4 linked regions of the Pelodiscus sinensis genome follow. The protein of the gene in region 4 purifies or fractionates together with the protein of the main gene of each other region. This does not show direct contact. Links are inferred from orthologs where the notes say so. Each region holds a gene or a part of one and is shown on either strand. Other genes may lie near its edges.

Region 1 (7,715 bases), on a different chromosome or scaffold from region 4:
TTTACAAAACTTTGATATTATATATTATTTGATGGTATATGTACACAGCTGTAAATACATTTGTACCTCTCTCGCTTGTATTCTAAATAAAAATTACTTGGAACATTTATCATTTAGAAGGTTATTCGTTTGGGAGTTTTCTTTCTCTGTATGTGCTAGGAAAGAATAATGATGGTTTTGGGAAAGGGCTAGTGGAGCTTCTCCTAGTGGGTATAATTGATAATTTGCTTCTTTTACCCCTGTACGGTTTACAGGATCCTAGCTTGTAGCTGAGTGAAATGAACAAAAGATCCTGTTATACAGGAGGTCAGACTAGATGATCAAAATAGCCTCTCTCCTGGCCTTAAAATCTAGCATCGGTTTCATGCATTTTGGACAGAGCATACTGCTCAATCCAGATAAATTATTTTCAAGACCCATCATTGCATCTAGAAAGATGATGGTTTTAAAATATGGAAAAAACAATTTATGCATATGCATGTGCACAGAGCCAGAGACACAAGGCACTAATAGATATGCAAGCACAGTGTGTTGAACCCATTTTCTCCTTGCTTATGGTGTTGAATATGTGATAGGAGGGTGAGATCACCTGCGAAGATCAGGTCTTCAAGGGACGAGATGGGTGTCCATTTAATGCCTCTTGGCATATCTTCTGTTGTATGCTGCATTATCCAATTGTCTCCTCTTCAATTTTGTCTTCAGTAACAATATTGAAGGGAATTGCAGACATGACACATCCCAGATATAGTCCTGTTTTGATTTCAAACGGAGCTCTGTGATCAACATGTAACCCAGAGGCACTGAAATCATTGACCCGGGAGAGTGATGTCTGCTATACAGCCTTCACTAAGCGCCAGATAGCTTTTTAGCTCATGTGGTCGAGCCCCAAGGCTTTAGCCCTTAATGTCTCTGGTTCAATCCTACAGACAACCTGGGCTCGTCAGCTCTACAAGCAGAGGCTCATCCGGGATTTGACTCGCCCTTCCCAGTGATCTCAGTGCTTCTGGGTTACATAAAGTTGGAACAGAAGTTTTTGATGATGTTGATTATATGGAGAGGGATTCCCTATGATTTTAGAATGCACCATAGGCTGGCCCTTTGCATTCCTTCAAGACGTGGACTTTGCAGATGATTTTGCTCTTTGATCGCATACCAACAAGAGAAAAACAACTCAACTCAACACATTCAGCCAGCAAATTGGACTGAAAATCAACTGCAATAAGACAAATATCATGACTTTTAATATTGCCACACCATCACCTGTACAGCTGGAGGATCATGTTCTCACCAATCTAGAATCATTCACATACTTGAGCAACACCATCAGCCAGGATGGTAGGAACAAGCCAGGGCATCTGAACAGACTCAGTTAAGCCAGGAACCCCTCCAGGAGTTTAAATACAGTCAGAAAATAATCAAAATGCCAACACCAAAATCAAACTCAAGAAGTGTCTACGCAGCGTCTTTTCACCATTACTTTAGCGGGAAGAATGCTGGGGGATGAGAAAGTATCACATGTCCAAACTGTCTTCATTCCATACAACCCACTGCCGAACAATCTTTCATATCTTCTGACCCAGAACAATCTCAAACCAAGGTCTATTCACACCGTGAAGCCAAGCACCATCATAGCCAGGAGGCTCTGGAGATGGATTGGCCATGTGCTTCAGATGGAAACTGATTCTATCACCAGAGTAGCAATAAGATGGACACTTGAAGGCAAGTGAAAATGTGGCTGTCTGAAAACAACATGGCAAAGGGCTGTGGAAGCTGAGCTGAAAAAAATGGGGCACAGCTTGGGAGCCATTGAAAGACTTGCCAGAAACAGACAGGAGTGGAGGAGTTTTATCACTGCCCTAACTACCAGAGAGCTACGTCTACACTGGCATGGTTTTCCAGAAATGCTTTTAACAGAAAAGTGTTCCGTTAAAAGCATTTTCGGAAAAGTGCGTCTAGATTGGCAGGACGCTTTTCCGGAAAAGCACTTTTTCCGGAAAAGCGTCCGTGGCCAATCTAGACGCGCTTTTCCGCAAAAAAGCCCTGATCGTCATTTTCGCGATCGGGGTTTTTTTGCGGAAAACACTACTGTGCTGTCTACACTGGCCCTTTTCCGGAACAGTTTTCCGGAAAAAGACTTTTGCCCGAACGGGAGCAGCATAGTTTTTCCGGAAAAGCACTGATGATTTTACATTAAATTGTCAGTGCTTTTCCGGAAATTCAAGCGGCCAGTTCAGACAGCTGGCAAGTTTTTCCAGAAAAGCGGCTGATTTTCCGGAATAACTTGCCAGTGTAGACACAGCCGAGGTGTAAAGGGAATATGACGATGAAGACAAATTCCTGCAGAGGTACACAGGACTATTCCCACCTCCTTCTGGAATTAACTAGCCTTTAAAGACAAACACAGCCATGGATCACAGATCAAGATTTGCTAGTGCCCTGCAATGCTGAACAGGGCCTGTTTGCAGCATACCATGTTCTAGAGGCAGTGCACAGCTGCTATCCTAATCAATTCCTGTCCACCGTGCTTAGGATACATGTGGGTATCACCAAATGGTTCTCTTTGCAAGATCAGGTCTACAAATCTTTTTAGCTTAACTTTGGAATGTGCGGACTTGATTCTTTCTCTCTAACAGCAGAGCTGTTAGGAGTAACACCGCTCTCAGGGTGAAAACAGAATCCCACTCTGTAATTCAGCACAGCAGCAGAATCGCAGAAAGAAATACCACAATCTCGTTCTTATGAACATGTACCAGTTTATGTTTACATAGTGCCTGGCCCCATGGTGACCTTATCCTGATTGGACCCTCGGGGTGCTATCACAGTGCAAATATTTAATCATAATAACAGCTGTTGTTTGATATAGCCCTCTACTCAAGTGGGGAAGATAATTTAGCTTACCAGATGGAAGCCTGTGCTGCATTTAAACTTAATGCAATGGGAAGCACTGGCTGATGACCATAGTATGATCTCTCTCTTAAATCCCTAAGGCCAGGTCTACACTTACCCTGAGATCGAGACTTTGGAGATGGATCTTCCAGGATTCAATTTAGCAAGTCTCCTAAGGACCTGCCTATTCAACTGCTGATAGCTTCCTTGTCGACCCCAGCACTCCACTGGGTCACAAGGAGTATGGGAAGTAAATGGGAGAGTTTCTCCCATCAACCATCTACACTGGGGATGCTGCAGAAATTTGACTTAAGGAATGTCAACTCCAGCTATGCTATTCTCGTAGCTGGAGTAGCGTATTTTAGGTTGACTTTCTGGAGTAGTGTAGACCTGGCCTAAGTGACAGTATGGCTAGGAAAATGAAAAGAGCTGATTTTTCTTAGTTGTAAAAATTAATTTCTTAATATTACATCCTTTTTCCTTTCTATATTATGTAGATAATACATTCTTGCAGTTTGAGTCAAACCAGTGGCGTTCACCCCATGGGCCACTTGCATCCCAATCTGTACACATCTGCCTCAAGGCCATACGGGTAGTATATACATCATGGATGTGGCTCATGTAGCACATGGAGAGCTGCATGTGTGGCCCACAATGGTAAATAGGTTGAGAACCACTGAGTCAGATACTTCCTGCCTTACATGGCCATGTAGCAGTGCTCTGAGCTGTTAAACAGCTGCTGTGTATCTGAGTAGACAGTGACAGCTCATGAAAGGGTTGTTGAGTGCTTGGGATCTGGTTTGAAGGAGCAGGGACTAGGGTTACCAGATGTCTACAAAAAAAATACCGGGCACACTTGATCTCAGATCGGAGGAGGGGATGGGACCAGCCGGGAAGGGGTGGGGGGGGAGCAGGGCTGGCTGGGGGAGCTGGGGGGTGGAGAACCGGCCAGCAGGAAGCAGGGCAGGCTGGGATGGGGGAGGAGGGGAAAGTGGGGGGGGGAGAGAATCGGCTGGCAGGGAGTGGGGCTGGCCCGGGCACATGCAGATCCCGGGGTGCTGCTCATCCCATGCACGGTCCCAGCGTGGTGCACGGGCGAGTCCGGCTCCGGAGATTCAACCCCGCTCCGGCCCTGACCCCTCTCTACTGCGTAGCTGCGTACTGCCTGGCTGCTAGACACACTCACGCAATGTGGACTCACGCAGTGTGAGCGTGTCGACCAGCCAGGCAGTACACAGCTACGTACTGATACTCATAATAATACAACTAACTTGATTAGAAAATACCGGACATTTATAGGTCTGGTATTTTCTCAATTTATTTACCAGACAGAAACCTCAAATTCTGGACTGTCCAGTTCAAAACCTGGCAACCCGAGCAGGGACTTTAAGGAAAACAATCATTAGCACGAGAATTGAGACGAGTGGCAAAAGCATGAGAGTTGGCAACACTGCTTTGCCGCTCCCCAAGGTTTGGCAGGCAGGCGCCTGCTTGCTGTTGGGCATGTGTATAGGGCCCGTGGGCTCCATAGGGATGTGGGGGGCGAATACACCCAATGCACAGAGTTCCTATGAAATACTGTCTCTGGGACGTACCAACATGTGGCCTCTCTTAGGGGAGGAGGCATCTTCCTGTAGCCTTAACACCTCCCCTCCAGCACTAGAGGGCACCACAGCCTAGGCAGCTTGCCAACACTAAACATGGCCCTACCCTAGTCCTGCCTACGCAGCGAAGACTATCCCCCCCTCCCCTGCCAAGATCCAATATGGCCTCCCCAGCCTCATCGCTGCTGAGGCTCGTCCAGCCCTCATTCAAGATGGCGACGCCCCAAGCCAACAGGGCAGCTCCCCGCGCGTGCTGTTGCCAGTAACAGACATGGCGGAGGGCACGGCTGATTCGGACGGGCGCTGAAGCCGAAGGAAACGGCCAGGAGTTAAGATGGCGGCAATAGAGGTTCGGTTGCCGGTGGCCCGTAAGCTCGCGGGCCAGAGCCAGGCAAGAGGGAGCGACAAGCACCTGGTGGCTCCGGGGGACACGATCACCACAGACACGGGCTACATGAGGTGAGGGGCCTCCCCCAGGTTTCTTCTCCCTCCGGTGGGGCCCTTCCCTTATCTCAGAGACGGAGCCTATGGATGGGGCAGGGCCATAGGGTGTGGTACGCCCCTCCCCCCCATTGCATGGGCTGTGGGGCAGAGCCCCTTATCCCCTCCCCGTGGTATGAGCTATGGGGCAGCGTCTCTTATCCCCCCGGACATGGGGCTGTGGCACGTCCCCCCCCCCATTGCATGGGCTGTGGGGCAGGGTCTCTTATCTCCCAACCAGGGGGCTAGGGTGCAGCCCGATCTCCGTCCTCAGGGTCTGGGGCAGGGTGTTTTGTCCCCCTGCATCCCTGTGGCAGCCCTTTATCCCCACCCATTCCAGCAGCTAAGGCTATGGGCATGGTCCCTGTATGATATGTGAACAAAAGTGGTTCTGAATCCCCAACATCCTGGACAAATGAGAGATTTCTGAACCCTGGGTTCTCTTGATCAAGTCATTTCACTTCTTTCTGCCTTAATTTCCTTACCTGTAAAAATGGGTTTTAGGAGAGGGTTTCTTCCCTCACACCATCCTGGTGGCAGGGGTTGTTGGGAATTAACAGAGTTTTCCTTCAGTCCCAGTTTTTTTTGAAGGGCTGCTCTTTCCAGTGCTGTAATTAGGTATTTTTTGTGCCTGGGGCAAAATATTCATTATGCACCCCCCTCTTCCTTAAGTTAGCATGTGTCGCACTTTTTACTTTTGCAGCTTATTATTTTTACGCTTTGTGCTAGGGATGTAAGCAACTAGTCGAATAGTTTACTACTTAGTAAGCCTAGGCTTCTTGGGTAGTCAAGTCATTAGTCACGTCTCTCTCCTCCCCCCCTTGCTGCCTCTATCAGTGGCAGCAAGGGGGGGAGCAGGAGCTAGCGCTGTGGAGGGGAGCCAGCTTAAAAGCTGGTTCCCCCAGCACCATCTCCGTGGAGGGCAGGGGAGGCAGAGATGCAGCAGGAGACCGGGCATGAGCCGGGACTCGGTTGTTCTGGCTTGTGCCCAGTCCCAGATGCTATGCCTCTGTCTCTTAAATGTAGTAAGAGCTGCAGCAGGCTAACCCTGCTGCAGCTCTGCAGTTTCCCCCTTATTGACCAATCAAGTAGTCGATGGAAATTCCATCAACTACTCAATTAACTGATTAAATGCAATTTAACATCCTTTCTTTGCGCTCTTGATTATGATGTGCCTGGGGTAAGCACCCTGCTTGCCCCATCTTTGTTATGGCTCTGGCTCTTTCTTCCCTGCCCCATTCTACCCCTAGAGTCCAGTTGCAGAAAATGACTTCTCCTCAGGGTTGGGGAATGGGGCCCCAAGGAAGAGTTCACGCCGTGGGTCATTGTGGTTATTCTGGGAGGCCCTGAACAGTTGCTTGCCTTGCTTGGGTTTCCCCTCCAGTCCACCTGACTGGTGAATGAAGCGTAGGGTTAGGCCAGACAATAAGCGGCTTGAGCATCTGCAGGTATGGCTGCTTGCAGCTTTTGTTGGCCACAGCACATTGTTCCCAGCCAATGGGAGCTGCAAGTGGCCTTACCCACGGACACGTAGGTAAATAAAGTGTCCGGCGACCTACCAGGGGTTAACCATGGTGAACTGTGCCTGGCTTGAGGGCCACTTATTGCCCACCCTGGATTAGGCCCTTTTAGACCTTAATGTAAACTTCTCAGTGTCCCAGACTGTTACTTGCCTTATGCTTAGAGCTGGTCCTAATCACTCTGTGTAGAGCTGTGTTGAGAACGGAACTGATCAGACTCACTAAAAGCTGCACCATTTGTGTACCTGAGGAAGGAGGCTAAGCGGTGTCACCACATGAAAGTATCTTTATTTCACAAACCCTTCACTGGGAATGGGGAAGAGAGAGACAGATCTCATCCCTCCCGTGGTGGAGAAATAGCTTCCTTTCTCTTTCCTGTTTTAATTTCAGAGAGCTTGGGAACTCTTTTCTCCTAATAACTCTGGGGCTACTTTAAGCCTGGGGTGTGAAAGCATGGATTGGCTAACCCCAGGGTGGTAGAGATGGCAGATGTGTGTGGATGTTTGATGTATCCTTTTACGGCAGGGGCCATGGCACGTATATGGGAGATGAGAAACTTATAGCATCTGTCGCAGGCGCTGTTGAGAGAGTGAACAAACTGATCTGTGTCAAAGCTCTGAAAACCAGGTGAGAACAGGCTTTGAGACCAAAGCCATTTTTTGAACCTATTTAAAAATCAAATGTTCCCTCTGTGTGGGATATTCCAATTCCTAGCAATGTGTTTCCCACTTAAAGACTTAGAGAAACAGGGCATAAGCCAACAGATGGTCTCAGTGTGTGTCCAACAGTGGGAGACATTTGGAAATGGGTTGGGGGTGAATGTAGAATTTGTCAAACTCTATCAGATCAATGCTTCTATCTACACCAGATCAGTGGATTGTGTAACCATATTATTCCTGGATTGTCAGACCAGAAGGGTCCATTGGACCATCTAATCTGACTTGTGTAACGTAGGTCAGAACATTTCATCCACTAACTCCTGTTTTGAGCCCAGTTATAAATAATAAATGTTAGTACTGGAAACGTTGATGCTGCAGTTTGCACAGACTCCAGTGCTGTGACTCTTGCCAGCTTGGCCCTGCTTGTGTTTTTAATCAGTGTCATGCTGATACGAGTACCCAAGTCAAGCAGTATCTGAGCTACTCCGGGAAGAGGTTTGCTTGAATAGAATTTCCCTTTTTCTCTTGCTCCCAGATATAACGGGGAAGTTGGTGACATTGTGGTT
Region 2 (7,736 bases), on a different chromosome or scaffold from region 4:
GGGGGATTTAAATATCCCCCGAGGCATTTAAATAAAAATGTCCGCCGCTTTTTTCCGGCTTTTAAAAAAGCCGGAAAAGAGCGTCTAGACTGGCCCCGATCCTCCGGAAAAAGTGCCCTTTTCCGGAGGCTCTTATTCTTACTTCAAAGTAAGGTCTTCAAAGTAAGAATAAGAGCCTCCGGAAAAGGGCACTTTTTCCGGAGGATCGGGGCCAGTCTAGACGCTCTTTTCCGGCTTTTTTAAAAGCTGGAAAAAAGCGGCGGACATTTTTATTTAAATGCCGCGGGGGATATTTAAATCCCCCGCGGATTTCCCTACGACGACTGCTGAAATTTACATGCCCCTTCCGGAAAAGGGGCCAGTGTAGACGTAGCCAAAAAGTCTATCTTAAAAGAACATTACAGTCAGAAAATCAAGTCCCCAAAATGACAGACCTCTTGTGCACATACATTACAATGCAGCTCTAATCACATACAGTTTTCCCACTGAATCCTGGCCTCATTCGATATGCAGGACAGACTTACTGAGCGTGAATTAGTGTTGTGCACTAAAGAAAACTCTTGCCTGAGCCAGACAGTTCTGACATGATGCTAGTCAAGTCACTTACACTTTTTACAGGTAGTCACTAATTGTGAGTTTTTTATTTTCTGGGTACTAGATGCAAGATTCTCAACTGGAGTCTGATTTTCAAATGTGCCGAACACACTCAAACACAGATGCTGATTTCCCCCGGGTCCTGAACCTACTCCATCCCTTTCCCCAAGCTTACACCACCTCTGTCCCGCCTCTTCCCACCCCAAAGAGTTGGCGCTTATTCGCACAACTGCAGCTGAAGTAGATGAGAGCTATGCTTTGAACAAATGAAATACTATATATAAGGATGTTAAAATGCTATTATCTGGCTAAACAATTTGTATTGACTATATGATTAGTCGATAAGCGCTGCTCTGCAGAGCTGCAGTGAGGGTAGCTCCAGGGCTGGCCCACAACATTTTGGCACCCAAAGTGGGGAGCTCAAATGACACCCCCATGCCGCCTTGCTTGGGCCAAAACTTTGAAAGGTTTCAATTCTGCCCTCTTCCTGTTCTACTCCTCTGCAGAGAAAATACACATGCACCAGCAGCAGACACAATTTTCTACACTCTGGGTCCTAGTGGTGACCCCCCCCCCCCCTCAGTCTGGCACCTGGGTAGCTCCAGGAGCCCACTTGAGCCGGGACAGAGCAGTCCTGGCTCATGCTGGCTCCAGAGCCAACCGCACTGTGGTTCTGCATTATAAATGCAGTAAGAGCTGCTGGGCTTTTATTACATTTAAAATGCAGAGGCACAGTGATCAGTGCGAGATGGGAATGCTTGGTCCCAGCTTGCAATGAGTTTAACAGCCCCTGTTTACAGAAGACAGCCCTGTCTGCCACGGACATGGGCTGGTGCCAGAGCAGCCTGTCTGCGGCGACCAGCCCTGTCCACCGCAAACACAGACTACTCAGACACCAGCCCCTGTTCATGGCAGACAGGGTTGGCAACAGACAGGGGTGGCTGCTGAGCAACCCCTACCCATGGCCCGGCCTGGCCACCCTGAACAGGGGTTGCTTGGTAGCAACAGCCCCTGTCTGTGGGGAGGCCCAGCTCCCCGCTAGGACCCCTGCAGACGGAGGCTGCTTCGTAGCAGTGTTCTTTATCCCGCACTGCTGCCTCTGATAGAGGCAGCGGGGTGAGGGGCAGGCAGCACCCCGGAGACAGTGCTGGGAGAAACAGGCTTTTAAGATGGCTCTCCACTGGCTCCTGTCCCCCTCTTGCTGCCTCTGAGACAGGCTTGATGCCTCTGGGCTGCCGCAGAGAGCACAGGGTGAGTGGGGACTGCTTTTGAAATGTACTAGAGCCCCACAGGACTCTTGTACATTTCAAAAGCAGAAGAGCCCATAGAGGGAACTAGCATAAGCGGGGACTGAAGCAGTCCCCACTTGTGCTGTTTCCTGCTGCACCCCCCGCCAAGATGGTGCAAGGAGGGGGAAGCGACTAGTTGAGTCACTACTCGACTATCTGATAAGCATTTGCTATTCAGATAGTCAACTAGTCACTTACATCCCTAACTATATATTACCATGTACTCAAAAAAAAAAAAATCAAATCCTAGGTATGTTAAATTGAGTAGCAAAATTAGTAGATACTTTTCACTTTAATCTCTCTCAGCTTCAGTTTCACATCTGTAAAATGGTGATATTTATACTATCTCAATCATACATGGATTTTGTGAAAATAAATTCATTCATATTCCTGATTCACTCAATACAGTGCGAAGCATCATACCAAAGCCCATGAGGCAATTAATAATTCTGTCTTTACAGCAGGATTTGATTGGCATGCATTAAATAAGGCACAAGGCCACACATGGAATTATATGGAAAAAACAAAATATTAAAACACTCATTAAAGGGTCCTACCAAATTCACTGCCATGAATTTGGGGCTGGACTCGATGACCTCCTGAGGTGTCTTCCAGCCCTATGCTTTGATGAAAAACTCATCATGAACTGTGAAAGCTAGTCTCCCCTTGTAAAATCTGATCTTTTGAGTTTTTATACCCTATATAATACAGATTTCATGGGGGAAACCAAGTTTCTCAAATTGGGGGTCCTGACCCAAAAGGGAGTTGCAGGGATCATAAGCTTATTTTAGGGGGGTTGCAGTATCCCCCCCTTATTTCTGTGCTGCCTTCAGAACTGGGTGGATGGATTGCAGTGACTGCTGGCCTGATGCCCAGCTTGAAAGCAGCACCCCACCAGCAGAAGTGTAGAAGGGTGGTAATACCATACCATGCCATCCTTATTTCTCTGTTGTTTCCTTCAGAGTGGGGTGGCCAGAGAGTTGCTGACTGAGGATCTAGCTCTACAAGCACCAGTGCAGAAGGGTGGCAATACCATCCTTATTTGCACTGCTGCTACATGCAGCTTGGCCTTCAGAGCTGGGTGACCGGCCAGCAGTCACCATTCTTCAGCTGCTGAGCACCACTGCCAGTACCAGCACCACAGAAGGGTACTAGCAGTACTACAAAAACCCTCTTGCAAAAACCCATTCCTTTTTGGGTCAGGACCCCCACAGTTACAACATTGAAATTTCAGATTTAAATAGTTGAAATAACAAAACCTATGGTTATGGGCGTTGGGTGAAAGGCCAGCTGGGGAAGACAAGCCCGAGCTCTGTCCCCTTCCACTCGAGGTTTCTGGGCCATGTGCAGAGCTGTGACTGTCGTACTGCAGCCCCAGCCCAGCTTTCCTTGGCGGCCGGGGGGAAACTGGGCTGCCGAGTTGCAGCCCCATGCCTCCCCAGTGGAAAGGGGAAGCCGGGCTACCAAGCAGTGGCCCGATGCCTCCCCGGTGGCTGGGGAGAGCCAGGCTGGCAGCCCCAGCCTTAGGCAGTTGGTCTTGTGAGCAATTTTGGGAAGGCTCTGCCTTCCCTTGCCTAAATTACTGACCACCCATGCCTATGGTTTTTTTTTAATCCTGTGACTATGAAATTGACCAAAATCAACAGTACATTTGGTAGTGGTCTACTCGTTAAGTGAGAGAAGTGCCTTTGAGATGATACCTTAGTCACACGATCTGTTGGGGTGGGAGGGAGGGGCTGAGCTCCTTGTGGACAGAAGTTGCTGCCATGGAGCAGCCTCTGTTCACGGTAGGCCTAGGTAAGGCTGCTCTATAGAATGCACAACAACCTATCTGCAGTGGGCCCAAGCTTGCCATGGACAGAAGCTGTTTCATAGAGGGGGGCAGCACAGAGGAGCTGGTGCTGGGAGGAACTGACTTTTAAGCCAACTCCTGTCTGTTCCCCACCCACCCCCGCTGCCTATATAGCAGGCAGTAAGTGGGAGAAGGCAGATCCGCAGGAGCCACTGATATAGAGGCAGCAAGAGTGTGTGTGTGGGGGGGGGAGATGAAATGCGTGTAGACCACAGGATTAACCGATAGCCAGGTTTATCAGTTAATCTTGTAGACATCTACATGATGATGGGGAATAGGGTTGCCAGATGGTTTCAGAAAAAGTACCGTCCCCCCTTTGACAGTTAAGCAAAAATAAAAATAACAGCATGGCCCTCTTAAGAAACATGTGGTAAGGCTTTTTGGCCCTAACAGGCTACCAGCAGCCACCCGCCATCTTGCCTCCCTGCACTGGGCCAGACAACTCCCTGGTAAGCACTATGGTTGCCAGGCTGCCTCCTTATTGAGCTGGACAGCCCGAGATTTTTCGCCTCCTGGCTGGGAAAAAATCAGAAAGTACCGGACATTTTAGGTGTCAGGTATTTTTTGATTTTTTTTATGGGACAGGAGGCGAAAATACCAAACTGTCTGGTTCAATACTGGACCTTGGCAACCCTAATGGGGAGCTACCTTAAAAGCTGGCTCCCAGTATGCAGGGCTCCTGAGGCGCTGACAGCCACACTGCTCTGCTGCCCTGTATGAGTTTGCAGGGCTAGGCAGGTCGTTGGCTCCCTGGAAGTGGGCTGGCAGCCAGCGAGTGACCGTGTAACCGGTTTGACCGGCTACACGGTTACAGTAATAACGGGTTTTGCCATCCCCAATGTGCAGGGCTCTGCATCCAGGCACAATGCGGACCAACAACGCCCTTGCACTAACACGCGCACCCCTCCAGCAGGCCGCCCAGATTAAGAGCTGCGCATGCGCACACGTGGCGCGTCCACCCAGAGCATCCGGCTCTGCCCTCTGCGCGCCTGCTATCCCCACGTGGGAGCAGCTCCCGCGCAGCCCCAGCCCCGCAGTGACTCTGAGTCACCCACACAGGGCGGTGCACGCGCCCGCCCGCAGGCATCGCACGGCGCGCGCGAGCGGTTGACGTAACTCCGTGCGGGTGGAGGGACGGCAGGGAAGCGACGGGGAAGTTAGCGTCGTCGCGTTTTGGTGACGGCATCACCAGGCGGCGGCGGCCGGTGTGTTTGGAACCCGGCGCGCATCATGGCGTCCGTGGTGCTGAGCGAGGCGGAGAAGGTTTACATCGTGCACGGTATCCAGGTAACGGGGGGCGGGGCTGCGCGGGGGGCGGACAGTTGGGTGCCGCCCTGCGGCCGTGGGAAGGGGCGCCCCGGTCTCTGTTCGCCCCCCCCCCCCCCGCTCAGTTCACGGCTCGTCGCTGTCTGAGCCGCGCCGCCCGAAACTCAAACCCGACTGTTGGCTACGTAGATACAATTCCTGTGACGTGTCTGTCGCTCGTGCACTGACTGAGTGTGGGGGAGGGGGAGACGCCCCTGGGCCAAGGGCACCAGCTGGTCCCGGGGCGGCCGAGCGGAGGCCGCGTAGCTGGCTGCGGGGCTGTGCAAGCGGCCGGGTGCAGGGTAGAGATGTAGCCCGGGCTCCTGTTTAACCCTCACCCTTACTGCAGCCCTCTTGATCAGGCGGGGGGGGGGGGGAGAGCCAGCGCATCTGAGATGCTGCCTGTGAGTAGGGCTGTAATAGTGTAGTCGATTAACTGATCAGCAAAAGCTTGTAGGTTAATGCTCCAGACGACAAGCATTTCCCTCCCACCTCCCCTCGCCACTAAATTTCTTAGCAGGGTGGCCAGCAGCCTGGCTCAGTCTCGGCTTGCAACGGGTCTGGGACCTATCCCTGCTGTGGCTCTGCATTTAAATTGTATTAGGAGTTGGGCAGGTAGGCAACCCAGCTCAGTTCTGGCTCATACTGGGTCCGGGAACTCAGACCCTCCCACACAGGGATTGCTACCACTCTGCACTACTGCCTCTTTATCAGACAGCAGTGCAGGACAATAGGCAGCCAGTCCGCAAGGCAAGCTGGTTTTTAAATTGGCTCCCCTCGTGGATCAGCTCCTGCGGCTGCCTCTAAAATAGCAATAGAAACACGGAGTGGCAGGGGGCACTGGCTGCCAGTCCCATCCTTGGGGGCTATAGAATAGTTGACTAGCCTATAAGAATTAATGAGGTTACTCGACTATTAAGTTAATTGATATTTAATATCCCCACCTCTAATAAAGAGGCAGCAGCCTGGGGAGGGAGGCAGGATCAGGTGCTCGTGGAAAGCCAACTTAAGAGCCAGCTCCCGCCTCCTCCATCTGCAAGTATGTAACTGCTGAAATTTTCAGCGGTTACATGTTTACCAAAATAAACACATTTTTGCACCATTAGTGCAGAGCCTCTCCAGAAATGGCAAGTGTGTTTGTCCCTGGGGCCACCTGAGCAGCTGACCTGGAGCCAGCTGCTTGGGGCAGCCTGGAGGTCCACCCAACTGGCCACTGCAGAAACACATTCTTTTGCTACATTTCAAAGGAAGCCCTGCCTCAGCCTTTTAAATGTACAAGAGCCCCAGTGGGGCTCTTGTATATTTGAAAAACAGAATTGCAGCACGAGCAGAGACAGCTTCAGTCTCTGCTCACGCCATTTCCCGCTGTGCCTCTACCTCCCCTGCCCCCCGAGGAGATGGTGCTAAGGGGAACCAGCTTTTAAGCTGGCTCCTAGCACTGGGACCTGCTCCCCCACTTGCCGCCTCTCTCGGATAGAGGCAGCAAGTCAGGGGAAGCGACTAGTCACATCACTAGTCGACTATCTGATAAGCATTACATCTCAATGTATAGACATTCTTTTCTTAACCTGTGTATTATATAATTCTAACATTAGCTTTAATAAAAATGTTAAATCTGAGGACCCAACCGAGATCAGAGCCCCAATATGCTAGGTGCTACCAAAACACAAAGCTCTTTCCTTGAAGAGGTTGCTATGTAAGGTCCTGATTCTGCAATAAGCTGTGGACATAAGGTTCTTGTTTATGCATAAGGAGCTGCATTGAAGCTGATGAGGTCTGCCCACATGGAGCTTATTGCAGGATCAGGGCTTTAATGCACAATACAAACTAAGTGTAGAAAATGAGTAGTATTATGTTCTATCTCCATTTTATAGTTTATGCAGGAAGTCAGTGTCCGAACTGGGAATTAAACCTGTGTAACCCACTCTTTTCTCCCTGGGTTATTCAGGAGCAGGCCACACTCATCTGTGTGCCTGGATGCCTGATGTTTTTAACATTAAAGGAGATCCAGAGTGTCCTAGTGATTATGTTGGATAGTTGGGGATCCCCTATCTATCTTCTTGCTTTTAAAGCAGGCCTGGGCAAAAACCAGCCCTTGGGCTAGATCCAACCTGCTAAGCCATTGGATCTGGCCCGCAGATGCTGCAGGGAGCCCCAGGCAGGCCCCCCACTTGCCTTATCCTATGCGCACATTGCTCAGAAATGCAGCTGTGGGGCGTTTTTTCTTTAAAAACTGAGTCCAGAGGGGAGGGGGGAAAGCTTTTGGAGCTGCTCTCATCCCGGTACAATCCCATTGGCCGGTTTCTGGCCAGAAACTGGCTGGTGGGAGCTGCCTGTTTCAATTACAGGCAGCCACAAAGCACAAGGTGCTCCAGGCTGCAGCCTGTTTGGGGACTGGGCAGGCAGAGAGGCTGATGCAGGAATGGCTGCTGGCTTGTAAGTCTCCTGGCCAGATCCTGCCTCTGGCACCCCAGCCCCTCTTTCTCCAACCCTCTGACCCTCACTCCTGGGCCCTACTCCACATACCCAAATCCTCTGCCCCCCTCCTGTACCCATATCCCCTGCCAGATCCAGCACCCCAATCCCCTGCCCCAGATCACAATCCCCTACTGCCCTAGCTCCCAACCCAAATCCCTGCACCCACTGCTATACCCCAATTCACTGCCCTAGGTCACAATCCATCCCCCAGCACCCAG
Region 3 (6,928 bases), on a different chromosome or scaffold from region 4:
TCATCAAAACTTGATTCTTGCTCTTTTTAAAATGTTTTCCAAAATATTACCTATGTAGGTAACTATACTGCATCCACCATAGAGCCAATGGAGCGTTTCCAGTTTGATTGAGAAATACAAAAGAGTGCTATAAAATTGTCTTCCTTATTTAATGTTTAAATAGTTACGATCTCTCAAACTGAAAACCAAGAACTGTTTTAAGTAGCTCTTCCCCTAAGATTTAATTTGTCTTTATTGACAAAGATCCATTTTATATACAGAAGCTATCATGAATGATGTTTTAACTTCAACAATACCACTGCTTTCCTTTTATCCTACTCACCAACGTTACTTCCTCTCCTTGCACAGATACATCTGGTCTACGGAAGTGACATAAAGCCACTATTGCTGCTATACTTGCAGCATCAATAATGTTTCCATCGTGATTCAACAAATGCAGGTCCACACGAATTTGCCACACCTAAATTATAAAAAATAGGTGACAATTCATGAAACTGTTGTATGACTGGTAACTTGTATTGATTTTCCAACACCTTTTCAAAATAACTTTTTACTATTCATGTTGAATGGAAGTATAAATTTATTTCTTGATCATCAAAAAATTAGGATAAAACATATCTGAAGAGAAATAGTATCTACTTTCAATACTGATTGCGATAAATTAAAATTGAAATATGATTTCATGCAAGTAATTAGCTTTAGCATGTATATAGTACCTGTTCGAGAAAATAGGTGACCCAGGAGCGGATGGGTTAAAGGGACCTTTGTATTGCTTACGCATGTTTACTTTGGACCCCCAACAAAATTTTCCAAGTGGCAATGATTTGGCACCAGTTACACTCGTTTATCTATTTTGGTATGTTAATTCTCACATTTATTACTACTTTTTATAAACTCTTATTTAGCAAAGTTAACTTCCATACAATGAATATTAATAAGCAGGTGATGAATACAATTATGCCAACCTCTGTTTGTTGTTTACTGGTTTTTAATTAAATTAGCATTACATACTGTCTTAATTAGCAGCTTACAGGGAGGGGGGAAGTGCTCTGACCCTTCAAGTATTTTTACAGAGCAAGTGTAAAGACAAAACAAAGAAAACGGTATTCAGTGCAACTATCTCCCTAGGCTTCAAGGACAAAAGGGAAAAAAATATACACAAAAAGCCAAAATGCTTGCTCTGGCTAGAACCCCTATCACTATTGTATCTACCCCCCCACACCCCGATCCCTATTCATTTTTACATATCCCAACAGTCCCACTGACTTTTAATCTACTATGTACAATCTTTAAAGTTAGACACATATCTATGTTTGCACAGCTGAAACCATAGTCTTTTAAAATAAAATCAGAATTTTTGGTCCTCAAAGACAGATTGACCGCTACATGCAATATATTAGTCCTCTAGTATTAAAGATCTTTTGATTTTATTAGTGTTTTTCACACCTTTACACCAGCAACAACACAGAGAGATTCAGTGTCTATACATTTTGAGTTTCTGAGGCATCTTTCTAATAGTCGATTCAGTTTCACCAAAAGCTCAGATTGCCTAGAAAAACAAACAAGAGATTGGTTACATATCAGTTGTGAGTTATAATAATCCTGATAAATATGACACTGAATAGCTTTCCTTATGCCATCCTTGTCTGTTGTCACTATGGAAAGGGCACATACCTGCCAGGCTCAAAAGATGGTGAAGCCATTGGAGAGAGCTCAAGATTGAAGAAAAGTATACCCTCTGTAGCTCGATTTAGCTTTGGAGAAACAAGTTCACATGAAACTTGTCCAAGGACTCTGCAAAAGAACCCCGCCCCCCACACAAACCCTTTAGTATAGATAACAAAATACTTTAGTATAGATAACAAAAATAATATTTAATTAAATTTAATATTGAAACAACTTGCACCTGAATTTTACTGCATGGCTCCAATTTATTACTGCTTATGTAAGCCTTGGCCATACAGCTAAAATGCTAGTCACTAATAGGGAACAAGCAAGAGCTAGATGTGAAGAGCACACACTGGACACTCAAATTCCTCGGCTTTATTATCAATTCTACTGCTGTGTGAGTGCCAACAATTTACTTGTGTCCAGTGTAAGCTGTGTGCTTGTGTGGCTTGCTCAGGAGAGATTTAAAGGCCTTCTGGCTGATTGGAAGAATGCCTACAACTAGTTTTTTCCTCCTACCGGTGGTGCTCATTCAAACATGCCTCAGTGTGCATAACATAATTTATTCCACACATGGATGGGAAAAGATTAAGGGAAACATCGCTTATGATTACTTCAGCTCCTCCAGTCTATACCATAGAGCTACCACCTACTTCGCACAGGTGCTGCAAATTTGCTTAATTCGAGATGTCGGGCCGGAGGGATTAATGAGTTGCCACTAGCCAAGGTCAGGTCTACATGCACGTGACTGGCTCATCTGCCGCTTCCGACGCGGTAGCTTCGGACACCTCCAGGGAGACCGATCTCAATTTGTTCTCCTCTCTCCCCCCCTCCCCCCATTCATCGCTGTCGCCTCCCCCAGGCTGTGGCGGCCCCGCACCGCGTGCGCGAGCGTCATGGGAGCCCTGCGCCGGGCGCACGGGGCGGGGTTTCCCCGCGGTACCTGGTCCTGCCCAGCTCCACGACACAGCAGCCGTAGTCGGCGCCGAAGGAGACGCGCACGTTCCTGTAGTCGTAGCTCTGCCGCCCGTCCAAGCGCTGCGGAGCCGAGAGCAGAGTCACCAGCTGCGCGGGGCGGGCGCAGCATCGGGCCCCGAGCGCCCATGGGAGGGAAGGGGAGGGGGGGGCTTGGCCGGTGGCGGCGCCGCCGCCGAGTGGGGGGGGGATTTCTCTCTCGTACCTTCCTCTCCTCGATGGCGCGCAGCAGGAAGCGCCGCTCGCAGTTGGACAGCGGCGTCTCCTTCATGCTGGCGAGGCTTGGCGGTCTCCGGGCCCGCTTCTCCGCGCGCGCGCCTCCCGCACGTCATCAAGAGGCGACGGGACAGGCGGACAGCCGTGCGCAGGCGCGGAAAGGAGGGGGCGAGGCACGGCATTAGGAGAGCGTCACCGCTCCTTTCGCTAGCCGTGGTGACGTCGCCGCCGCCCGGGCGCGTCTGGGGCCACAGCGCCGGTATTCTACGTCAGCAGCCGCAGGCTGAGTCTCCACAGCCTGCAGAGCTGGGGGGAGGGGTGTCTGTGACGTGGGACGCGCGGACAAATGTGTCCGGCCCAGCCAGGTGCGCCCGCGAACATTCCACCTTCACCCCGCCGGCCGGTCTCGCAACACGCTGCCCCGTTGTGTAGGCAGGGGGGGTGCTGCCTAGCAGCATCGCCGCTGCTTCCTGCACAGTGGCAGGCTCGGGGTAGCTGTGCAATCTGTACCTAAACAATACTCACTGTCAGAATATGGTCTGAAGAAGCGGGTCTGCCCCACGACGCTCATCCCCTAATAAACTGCTTTGTTAGTCTTTGAAGTGTTAGGACATGGCTGCTTTTTTGTTTTTTTGAAAAAGGGTAAAACAAGGAATAGCCCTGTCGCACCTTAGAGATTAACCAAAAATAGAGATCCTATCATGAGCTTTCCTAGACATAACCCACTTCTTCAGATGCCATCTGAAGAAGTAGGTTGTGCCCATGAAAACTCATATCATCCACATTTTTTTGTTTTGTTTTGGTTAGTCTCTAAGGTGTTGCAGGAGCATTTGTTGTTATTTAAGTTTTTTATTTTATTTTGGGGGAGGTTAGATAGTTGAGGTAAATTGGAGCTAAGTAACAAGATAGAACATTGGGTGTGTCAACACAGCAAAGTTATTTCGGAAGAATGGCTGTTATTCAGAAATAACTGAGTAGCTAAGCAGCAATTCTATTATTTCGAAATGATTTTGAAATAATGGACAGCTTAATTCAACTTCTGTAAACCTCATTCTAAGAAGAATAACGCCTATTCCGAAATAGCTGTTTTGAAATAAGGCATGTGTAGACATTCCACTTGTGCTATTTCGAAATAGCCCCTCGCTAGGGCCATTCTTAATTATTCTTCCTGAGGCTCTAAATTGAGATAACACATCTACATTAGGGAAGCCTGCCTTGGACTAATTTTGAGACTTCCCTGTAGTGTTGGTGTGCTATTTTGAAATAAGCTATTTCAGAATAACTACAGGCAGTCCCCGGGTTACGTACAAGATAGGGACTGTAGGTTTGTTCTTAAGTTGAATCTGTATGTAAGTCGGAACTGGCATCCAGATTCAGCCGCTGCTGAAACTGACCAGCGGCTGACTACAGGAAGCCCGAGGCAGAGTTGCTCTGCCCCGGGCTTCCTGGAATCGGCCGCTGATCAGTTTCAACAGGCTTAATCTGGACGCCAGTTCTTACATACAGATTCAACTTAAGAACCCCAGGCGTCCCCAAGTCAGCTGCTGCTGAAACTGATCAGCGGCTGATTCCAGGAAGCCGGGGCAGAGCAACTCTGCCTCGGGCTTCCTGTAGTCAGCGCTGGTCAGTTTCAGCAGCAGCTGACTTGGGGACGCCTGGGGCAGAGCAGCTTGGGTGCTGCCGGGTTGCTCCAGTAGCGCCGCTCTTCGGCGCTACTGGACCAACCCACCAGCACCCAAGCTGCTCTGCCCCTGGCGTCCTGATTCAGCCGCTGCTGAAACTGACCAGCAGTGGCTGAATCAGGACGCCTGGGGCAGAGCAGCTGGGGTGCTGCCGGGTTGGTCCAGTAGCGCCCAGAGCGGCGCTACGGGACCAACCGGCAGCGCCCCGGCTGCTATACCACAGGCATCCAGAGCAAAGCCGCGGAGCACGGGGGCAGCGGGACAGCCGCGGCGCGTCTGGGCTGTCCGCTGCCCGCGTGCTCCGCGGCTTTGCTCCGCTTTGCTCCCCGTCTCCCTGGTCTGTGCGTCTGGGCTGTCCGCTGCCCGCGTGCTCTGCTGTTTTGCTCCCCATTTCCCTGGTCTGCTGGAGACCAGCAGACCAGGGAGACGGGGAGCAAAGCCTCTGAGGACGCCGGCAGCGGGACAGCCATGGCGCGTCTGGGCTGTCCGCTGCCCGCGTGCTCCCCGGCTTTGCTCCCCTTCTCCCTGGTCTGGGGAGACGTGGAGCAAAGCCGCGGAGCACGCGGGCAGCGGACAGCCCAGACGCGTCACGGCTGTCCCGCTGCCGGCGTCCTCAAAGGCTTTGCTTCCCGTCTCCCTGGTCTGCTGGTCTCCAGCAGACCAGGGAGATGGGCAGCAAACCCCGTTCGTAAGTGCAGATCCGACATAAGTCGGATCTGCGTAACTCGGGGACTGCCTGTATTCCAGAATGGCTTATTCTGAAATAACTGTGCAGTGTAGACATAGCCACTGAGAGTCAGGACTGTTGGCTGTAAACACAATTTACGGGACCATGGGAAATTTGGCCACACCCAGCATAAGTGAACATCTGGCTAACTAAAATCATGCCATGGTTGATGTTGGACCAGAGCGTGCTGGAGTAGAAATGTTCAACCCATACCTGGTAGAGATTTGGTTAAAAAGGCTAAACCACCACAAGAAGAATGTATCCAATATGTAGAAGTAGCGAAGACTTAGAGCTTTAGCCGTACCACATTAACAGTTACATCTTTGAGGATAGTTTTGGCTACGTCTGAAGTAACCATGAATAAAATAGCTATCATAAGACAGGCCACTGGTCATTTTCTACCTTATATTCATAATCTTGTAGTACAGTCCAATAATATATTAACTAACCAAAAACTAAAAATACTATACAGTTCCAAACTAGTGTGAAGCAGGGAAAGAAAAATCATTTTGCTGTGTTAAAAATGGTGCAAAATAATACCCACTGTCTACACAGCAAACATGCAATATTAAATAGATTGTAATTTGAGCCTCATTACTTGTCTAGCTTTTGTCCTCAATCCTGCAATTTGACTCATCACAGGTGCAGACATATGGGGAGCCAATTGCATTACTGCAGCCTTATTTGCTAATTGCAAAAGCTTTGGGTTTCAAAAGAAGCAGCTTTGATTTTTTTTTCTTATGAGTTAGATTTTAGTTCTAATTTGAAAGTACTATTAGTAATTTCTGTTATTGCTCTCGTTTGTCTATACTTTGCACAAAATATGTTAGGTTAAACACTACTGATCAAGCTAAACACTACAGTGAAGATTAACTTCAGTGCTTTATTCTCTTTCTCTGTTCAGAGCTCCAAGGTGTTTTTACAAACTCCAATTTAGTCCTGACCTTCTTTTAACTTGAGTATTTGTGCGTCTAAACTTTTTCTAACTTTCTTTGCTATTATATGCTGAACTGTTTCTAGATTTAGTTTATAAATTATAAATACAGGAGCTAGTGGAATTAATGCTTTCACAAACTCTGTGTTTTTATAATTTAACAACAGTATATGATGCATTTTATAGATTTGGCCTTTAGTAATAATCCTAGCCCCATCTCAATCTGCAAAAGACCCTACTGTTCCATTGTGAAAAGTGTAGAGGTTGGGATAAGATTATAGGATTGCCATATGTTTGGAATTGGTTTTTAAATCACTTTAGCTTCAACAGAAAAATGAGAAGCTGCTTTGGTTTTTTCCTTGTAATATTTTTTTAAACAGAGGTCTTTATTTAGATTATTTTGGTCTTTATTCGTTTTATTTTTTTAAATTAAGATTCTATATGTATTTTTGCTGATACAACTTGGGTCAGTGACAACGTACTCCTTTCGAAGAGTGACTGAGGGCCAGACACTCTGCCATTCCCTCCTGGATCCAGAGACGTGAGGTGAGTATGTGTGGTCCATAGTGATTTTGGCACTTACTGTGTCACCTACCTTGTTCTGCTTTCTGACTGGTGATGGCACTGGGCAAACCCCATCTCCTTCCTCTACTTCTGCAGGGAGCAGGAAATCCAGCCAGGGTCTGGCCAGACAATAGTGGCTCACTGACCCAATGCTCTCCTCTC
Region 4 (7,215 bases):
CTGTGATGGATCATCGAAAACACTAGTGTTCTAAAGGTTTCAAAATAGATTCAGTATGGATTTTGAGGTGTCATCTTTGAATAATTCTGTGACAAATATATATTTATAAGAGGAGAGAGGGTCATCTTCATATCGCTCCACAACTTGCCACCCAAACTAAACTATGTAATTTGGATTACATCCTTCTTTAATGGTTTTTTTTTTTTTCACTTTAATTGTAAAGGCCGAGACTTCTCTCACGATGAAACTCTGGATGTACCCACGCAAGTAGAATTGCTTATTAAGCAAGCTACTTCGCATGAGAATCTCTGCCAGTGCTACATTGGATGGTGAGTCTGTCTTTAAACTGTCCTTTCAAAATCTTCTCTCCCATTTCTCTGAAATAAATAGTGGTATGAGTTTATGGAATGGAGAACAGTCAAGTAAAATATTATTAGGTTTATCTCAATAATCATTCTGAGGATGGCTGGGGAGATATTGTATGTAAGCTTGTAAACTTTTGTGACCATTATATTAAATCTAACAAAATGCAAATTAGTTAGATTTGTTAAATCTAGCAAAATGGAAATTTGATTTAGAATCATCACCGCGGGCACTGCCCGTAAGCAGGCAAGCAGTCTGCTACTAAAGAAAAGGGGCTTATTTAAATGATGATCAACTCAGAATTTTTAATCATTTGAAACAAGATGTTCCTATTGTATGTAGATCACCAATTGCTAGTTATAGGAGGGAAATTACAGAGTCTAATGTCAACAAGCACACTTTCACAATGCCTTCATCTTTCTGAGATTTAACTGTAAATTGTATGCAAATTATGAATCCTGGTGGGCGATTTGGGGGGGATTACAGACATTAGGAATGTTAGGGATTAAGAAGCATTTTCTGTCTCATATCCCATTTTCAGTGTCCTTGTTATTTTAGAAAGGTTCCTGGACATTGGGGACCTAAGTTCTTTTTAACATAGTCTTTGTTTTTATGGAGCAATGGCTAAGACTGCACTTAAAGTATTACATTTGTCATCTTTAGGTGTCCTTTTTGGTAACAGAAGATTCCAGAGTATCCTCAGCCTTTCTTGGAGGCTTTTGCACTCCAGATATATTCTTCTACAAACTGAAATCTTGGACTGAAATACAGCCTGTCATATATTTCAAAATGTAAATTAAGAGTTATTGTATATTAAATGTTGGTTTAAGCCAATTCATAGCTGCTGTTGAAAAACACAAGTTATATGAAACACAAGACTTGATTTGGGTTTCCAGAACAATGAAGACTGACTAGACCACAAATACCTGGTTCACTTGGTCTTTGAGGAACTGGTGATCCATTACAAATAACAAAATACGGGTTTTGACTTGACTTACAATGTAACTATACTAAAATATTTGCAGCTGAATCATTCCCAGGTCAGTCCTTTTGGCGTGGCTGCAGTGAACTCAGTGCCCTCATGCGAGAATGCACATTTAAGTGTGGGACAGAGCTGGAAGGTAGAGAGCAAGAAGAAGGAGGAGGTTTTTTGTCAGTATTACCCCATTATCTCACCTTTCCCAAAACTCTGTACTCTCACCAAAAACAGAGGGAAGGGATTGTAGTTGAAAGATGTGTGTCTGACTCCAGGGGTGATTTATCTAGCACATTTCAGATGTGAAATATAGAGATAGATCCAGGGTCAAAGCCTCTGAGCCAGTCAGAGCAGAATGTCTCAAAGAAAGAGGGTAGATGGCAAGGTAAATCAGAATATCACTTGGGAACTTCCCACACTGGCAGACTGAAAAGCAGTGCTGGGAAATAATTAGGGAAAACTGAATACTCAGCACAAAAAGCAGAAGGGAGAACTGGTCATACCTGGAAATGAAGAATAATGCATATTAAACATGAGGGTGAAGGTAAATAAAGTTATGATTTATTAATAAAACATATTAAAATGCACAAAATACAAAAGCGTAGCCATGTTTAGATGCCATGTTGTATTTGAATATTTTTGTGTCAATAAAATACACCAAAATGTTAAAAGATTGACTGGATTTTGGTTATTCCAAAGCATTTCTTGTGGAGAGCACAACTGAGACACAAAGGTATTACATTAGACAGCGGTTCTCAAACTATGGGTCCTGAACCTGGTTTAATGGGGTCACCAGGCCTGACATGAAGACTTGCTGGGGCCGAAAACAAAGCCTGAGGCCCACTGCCCAGGGACAAAGCTTATAAGGACTTTAGCCCTGGGTGGTGCAGCTGCAGTAACAGGTGTCCTCTCTGGGGCTGAAGCCCTAGGGCTTTGTTTTTGGCCTATGGACCTGGGGCAATGGGGATCAGATTTTGGTCCTTTCTCCTAGGGTTGTGCAGTAATTTTTATTGTCAGAAGGAGATTGGAGTGCAATGAAGTTTGAGAACCCATAGCAGAAACCTACAGGAGCCACAAACACGGTTGGCAGAGTATGGGGTATCACTAAAAAACTTGGGGTACCTTTATCAAAGGAGTTTAACTGTTAATAAACTTAGTTGCGTTTCATCATCAACAATAACCATGGGCTCAGTGCCCGTTGGTGTCCAATGCCTCCCTCACTATTTCCTTCCATCTTTCCCTGTCCAGTGCGGAGTGGCTTAGCTTCTGTAGACTAGCTCCGCACCATTTTACTATATAATCTACCCATTCTCTGTGGGGTCTGCCTCTCCTATTCGGACCATCCATTATGCTGAATACCGGGGTCTTAACTTTTCGCTCGTCGTTCATTCTGCAGATTTGCCCGAATAGCTGTAACTTCCGTTGTATAACTTTCTGCAGTAGGTTCTCTTTCAGCTATATCTTCCTACATAATTCCGCATTGGTGATCTTCTGCACCCATCCTATTCTCCAGGTCTTTCTATAACAGCTCCTCTCAAAAGCCAATATCCTTCTCTTGCTGGAAACTAAAACAATGTTCTTAAGTGGACTGTAATTTGGTAAGAATAAAGTTTCTTTATTCTAGCTTTTGGGGCATTTTTTTCTCGTTACAAGAAACTGATTCTGAGAGACCAAGTACATAGAATTTTAATCTTATCATTGTGGTGTATATGGGGAAGGGATGGTGGTTATGCTGTTTCTTCTTAGCAAACATTTTCTATTGATACAGATTCGAAGATGCTAAGGTTAGAAAGATCCATTATCATTTTGTATCCAATACTACACTAGCCACAGAAATATATGGGAAATACCAAGGCTGTGGCTAGACTGCATCCCTTTTCCGTAAATTTAAATCTCCCCCGCTTCATTTGCATAAACATAACTGCCGCTTTTTTCCGGCTCAGAGCTTTGCCGGAAAAAAGCACCAGTCTAGACACGGATCTTTCGGAAAATAAAGCCTTTTCAGAAAGATCCCTTATTCCTATTAAAATAAGGAATATGGCATCTAAACATTTAAATCCCCCCTTCATTTGCAATTGCGATGTGTCTAATTTGCATCCCTTTTACGGAAAAGGGATGCAGTCTAGACACAGTCCAAGTGTCTGGACAGGGATAGGGAAAAAAAGTTTCACCTGTTTTAATCTTCATCATTCCTGCTTTGAGAGAACCAGCTCCCCAAGATTGTATACTGGTGGAGGAATGTCACTGGTAAGAAGCTGAGGTGTAGTCTCCATCTGCTGGTAGACTGAAGTGTGTGCCACGCATCTAACCTGTACAGAAAACTCCAGGAATCAAAGCCAGCTCACCCGCGTGCCCTTATGTCAGGCTGCAGCCTGGTCAAGATTAGACCGGGTTGTCGCAGGAAATGTCCATTTACAGAAAGGGCTTAAGCCCTCCCGATGGGGAGCAGCGTGGACACCCTCCAAGGTGCAGCCAAGCTGCTGCCCAGAGGGAGGCGTGGTACGGGACAGGCTCGCTGCCCGAGGGCCGCAGGTGGGGCAGCCGGCAGTAGGGGCTCCTGGAGCTCAGCCAGACGGGCACCTGCCCTACTCCCCAGGTCACAGCGGCTTTGGCTTAGGCCGAGAGTGGCTGAGCTCAAATGGGGGGGAGGGTGGCGTATAGCCAGTGCTGGGCTGAGCGCCCCCGGAACACGCCGCAAGGGGCGCTCCAGGACCCTCGCTCGCTCTAGACCAGACTAACACGGCTGCATCGCTACCGCTCTTAGGCAGGGACCCTGCAAGTCTGCCGCCCACACCTCAATGCGCATGCGTCTAGCAACACTTCCACCATACACACTCCCCCCACCCTTTTTCCGGTTCAGTTATCGCGAGACTAAGCCATTGACGCGTCACGTGGGACCGCGCGGAAGATGGCGGCTGCCGGCGGAGGCGGGAGTCGCAGCGCAGCCGTTAAGACGAGCCAGCTAATAGACGCGGGGAGTGGCGGCAGCACGGAGGAGCCGCCGGGCGGCTGCCCAGATACCGTTCTACCGGGGTTCAGGGATGCTGACTCCTTCGTCAAGGTGCGTGAAGGAGTCGCTGCAGACTACTACTCCCAGCCTGCTCTGCGGCAAACCCTGCAGCGGGGCATGCCGGGAACTGTAGTTCCTTCCCTCCCCCCACCCTGCTGATGCTGAAGCCTGAGGGGAAGCTGCCTGCACTGGATTTCCCAGCATTCTCTTTGCCGGGTCATGGAGGATGGCCCTGCCGCCCCGGGGCCCTCGCTCTGAGGGGAAGCGGGGCCGGGAGCAGTGACCCTGAGCCCGCCGCTGCGCCTGGGCCACCCATCGCGGCTGCGCGGAGGAGGCAGGGGGAGCCTGGGGCGACTGCGTGGGGGTTCGGCCCCGCTGCTGCAGCAGCCTCTGGAGCTGTGACGGACCTTACCCCCCCCCCCCCCCCACAGCTCCTGTCTGCCCGCCCCTCCCTCTCCGATACGGCCTCCCGGTGTCTGGGCGCCGCCGCCTTAGCTCCTTTTGCCCTGGGAGAGGGGGGCCCCTGCAGCCCACTGGCCTGACTTGTGTCACGTTTGCAGGCCTGTTAAATGAAGCGGTGCGAGCCGCGGGCCCTGGGACTAGCGTCGTGCACGCGGGCCTGTTGTCTGTGTGGGCCCCGGCTGCAGTCTCCTGTTTTCCGAATATCGCACTGTCTTCCCATTCCTGGGAAGTTGTCCGCATAACCTTTCAAATTAGCCACGGCAGCGGTTCTCAAACGTCTTCGGCTCCGGAGCCCTTTACATGTGTAAAAATTTATGCGGAGCCCCAGCGGTCCACTGATTGTATGTGTTGTACCTATCGATGTTTCCAGTTTGTCAACCTTGCAGAGCCCTGGGGCTCCGCAGCCTTTCTCAAACACTGAGCTAAGGCATTCCCTGCAGGGGAGTCTGGAGAACTAGAATCATGGTGGTGAGATAAATAGGACATAAACACCTGTAGTAGCTCATGAATGGGCTGTGGTGCTGAAAGCATCCTTAAATTTAGTTATTTGTCTTAACAGGAAAAATTCAGAAGAAACCCACAAATTTGGCAGCACTGGTGTGGTGGGATTCTCTGTATTCTTAAATTATCACTATGGTACAGCAAGAATGGCTTTCAAAATGTGTTCAACCGTTAGACCTTAATTTTAGCATATAGATGAACTTTTAAAAGGAATTGTTAACTGAAGCTTGACAGAGTGTTCTACAAATTGATTTACAAACCATAGTGTTGCCATCACTACAAACTTAATTCCTACATGTTCCCTCACCCATGCACCTTATAGACCAAAATCTGAGCTACACAAGGTCTACACAACAGAGTTTAGATTGATGCAAGGCATCTTACATTGACCTAACCATGAAAGTGTCCAGACTTTCACTCCTGCCAACTTAACTGCCCCAATAATTTCACCACTTAGTAGCATAGAATCAAAATTAATGTAGTTACATTGATTCAGTAACAGTGTACACATGACATTATTGTATAGACTGTTACTAGCTTCCCTAAATGCTTCACAGTGACAGTAAAATCTATACAAATGCACCAGTAACACAAGGAGCAAAGTGTAAACATGCACAAGCGATGCAATTATTCCAGCAGTTGTGTACCAGTGTAAGTTAGATTGATTTAATTTTATAGTCTAGATATGGCCTAGAGCAATGGTTCTCAAACTATGGGTCACAAGCCCATTTTAATGTGGTCACCAGGGTTGGCTTAGACTTGCTTCAGCCCTGAGCCCTACCATCCAGGGCCAAAACCTATGGTGGTGGGACTTGGGTGGATTCAGGTTTCAGTTCAGAAAGGGTTCACAGTGCAATGACATTTGAGAAATCCCCCCCCACCTTAGAGACAGCACTTCCTAGTTCTGAAGTTGTAGCCATTATACCCATATTTTTATTAAATCAAAATATCTTCGGTGTAAGGTTTTTCTTTTATTTTTTTAGTATTAGTTTAATTAAGTCAGGATGAAATAGTTGTAAACACTCTTGGTTAAAAAGGCCTAGTTGTGGCTTGGTTTAGGAATAGTAATGTAAGTGCGAGGAATGAGATTGTAATAGTAATGTAAGTGCGAGGAAGGTGTTCATCTGGCAAGATCATCAAAAAATGAAAATACATTGTGGAATTATATTTTCTTGGTGTGATGCTTTTTAACAGCATGCGCTTGGCACAGTGGTCGCTGCAACTAAAGCATCTAATGGGCTACCTCAGCCTGGAGATGAATATGACTTCTATCGCAGCTTTCCTGGATTCCGGGCATACTGTGAAACACAAGGTGATAGGCTGCTTCACTGGTAAGGACTTTTTAGCTTTCTTATGCCAGTGGTGAAAATCTGTGTTAGGGAACAGAGAAGTCTCTTCTTTGCAAATTTCAAAATAAAACAATATATGAGCATTTTTATTACAATTTTTCTGTTGCTTTTTAAAAACGTCAGCTGCTTTTCTGATTCATGAAATTTAAATGGTAACAATAAAAATGGAGTCATTCATTTTACCTCTGTAAAGTAACTGTAACAATTTAGGTGCGCCACTGAGTAGGTATGGGCTGATGGAAAGGTGACTTTTTAACCAGAAGACCCAATCTAAGTTCCATAGACCCAGTAAAGAAATTAATAGCAATACTTAGTACTTACTCATAGCTTCTCATTTTCAAAGTTCTTACAACAGTATCTAAGGAGTCTGTGTCTGATTTTGTAAGTCTCGGAGTAGCCAGAGCTCAGAAAGGATCTTAACAAATAACACCAGTTTTCAGAATACCTGCTTTTAATGTCATTTAAAGAGTAACTGAACTATTGTTTTATTAGTATGAGCAAGGTGATGCAATATCATGGTTGTCGGAGTCACGTGAAAGATCATAACAAAGCAA

What was found.
Region 1: the proteins of EXOSC10 (region 4) and EXOSC2 fractionate together in Homo sapiens (co-fractionation; 9 studies listed by BioGRID and IntAct, with this or other methods). This does not show direct contact. The link is inferred for Pelodiscus sinensis from reciprocal best matches to the Homo sapiens genes EXOSC10 and EXOSC2.
Region 2: the proteins of EXOSC10 (region 4) and EXOSC7 purify together in Homo sapiens (affinity purification with mass spectrometry; 6 studies listed by BioGRID and IntAct, counting the BioPlex papers as one, with this or other methods). This does not show direct contact. The link is inferred for Pelodiscus sinensis from reciprocal best matches to the Homo sapiens genes EXOSC10 and EXOSC7.
Region 3: the proteins of EXOSC10 (region 4) and EXOSC9 purify together in Homo sapiens (co-immunoprecipitation; 7 studies listed by BioGRID and IntAct, with this or other methods). This does not show direct contact. The link is inferred for Pelodiscus sinensis from reciprocal best matches to the Homo sapiens genes EXOSC10 and EXOSC9.

The regions. Positions count from the first base shown.
Region 1 is NC_134732.1:13,764,849-13,772,563, forward strand, and holds the start of EXOSC2 (exosome complex component RRP4), read left to right. Parts: upstream 1-4,715; 5' UTR 4,716-4,824; coding exon 4,825-4,949; intron 4,950-7,015; coding exon 7,016-7,117; intron 7,118-7,684; coding exon 7,685-7,715. UniProt on the Homo sapiens protein: Non-catalytic component of the RNA exosome complex which has 3'->5' exoribonuclease activity and participates in a multitude of cellular RNA processing and degradation events.
Region 2 is NC_134712.1:178,144,309-178,152,044, forward strand, and holds the start of EXOSC7 (exosome complex component RRP42), read left to right. Parts: upstream 1-4,720; 5' UTR 4,721-4,965; coding exon 4,966-5,022; intron 5,023-5,420; exon of another isoform or gene 5,421-5,435; coding exon of another isoform or gene 5,436-5,444; intron 5,445-7,736. UniProt on the Homo sapiens protein: Non-catalytic component of the RNA exosome complex which has 3'->5' exoribonuclease activity and participates in a multitude of cellular RNA processing and degradation events.
Region 3 is NC_134715.1:37,047,817-37,054,744, reverse strand, and holds the start of EXOSC9 (exosome complex component RRP45), read right to left. Parts: upstream 3,009-6,928; 5' UTR 2,915-3,008; coding exon 2,849-2,914; intron 2,707-2,848; coding exon 2,612-2,706; intron 1,795-2,611; coding exon 1,675-1,794; intron 1,550-1,674; coding exon 1,447-1,549; intron 461-1,446; coding exon 323-460; intron 1-322. UniProt on the Homo sapiens protein: Non-catalytic component of the RNA exosome complex which has 3'->5' exoribonuclease activity and participates in a multitude of cellular RNA processing and degradation events.
Region 4 is NC_134733.1:11,594,737-11,601,951, forward strand, and holds the start of EXOSC10 (exosome complex component 10), read left to right. Parts: upstream 1-4,213; 5' UTR 4,214-4,247; coding exon 4,248-4,400; intron 4,401-4,563; exon of another isoform or gene 4,564-5,858; coding exon of another isoform or gene 5,859-5,963; intron 5,964-6,506; coding exon 6,507-6,643; intron 6,644-7,153; coding exon 7,154-7,215. Other genes in the region: serine/threonine-protein kinase mTOR, read left to right, coding at 224-329, 1,027-1,042. UniProt on the Homo sapiens protein: Catalytic component of the RNA exosome complex which has 3'->5' exoribonuclease activity and participates in a multitude of cellular RNA processing and degradation events.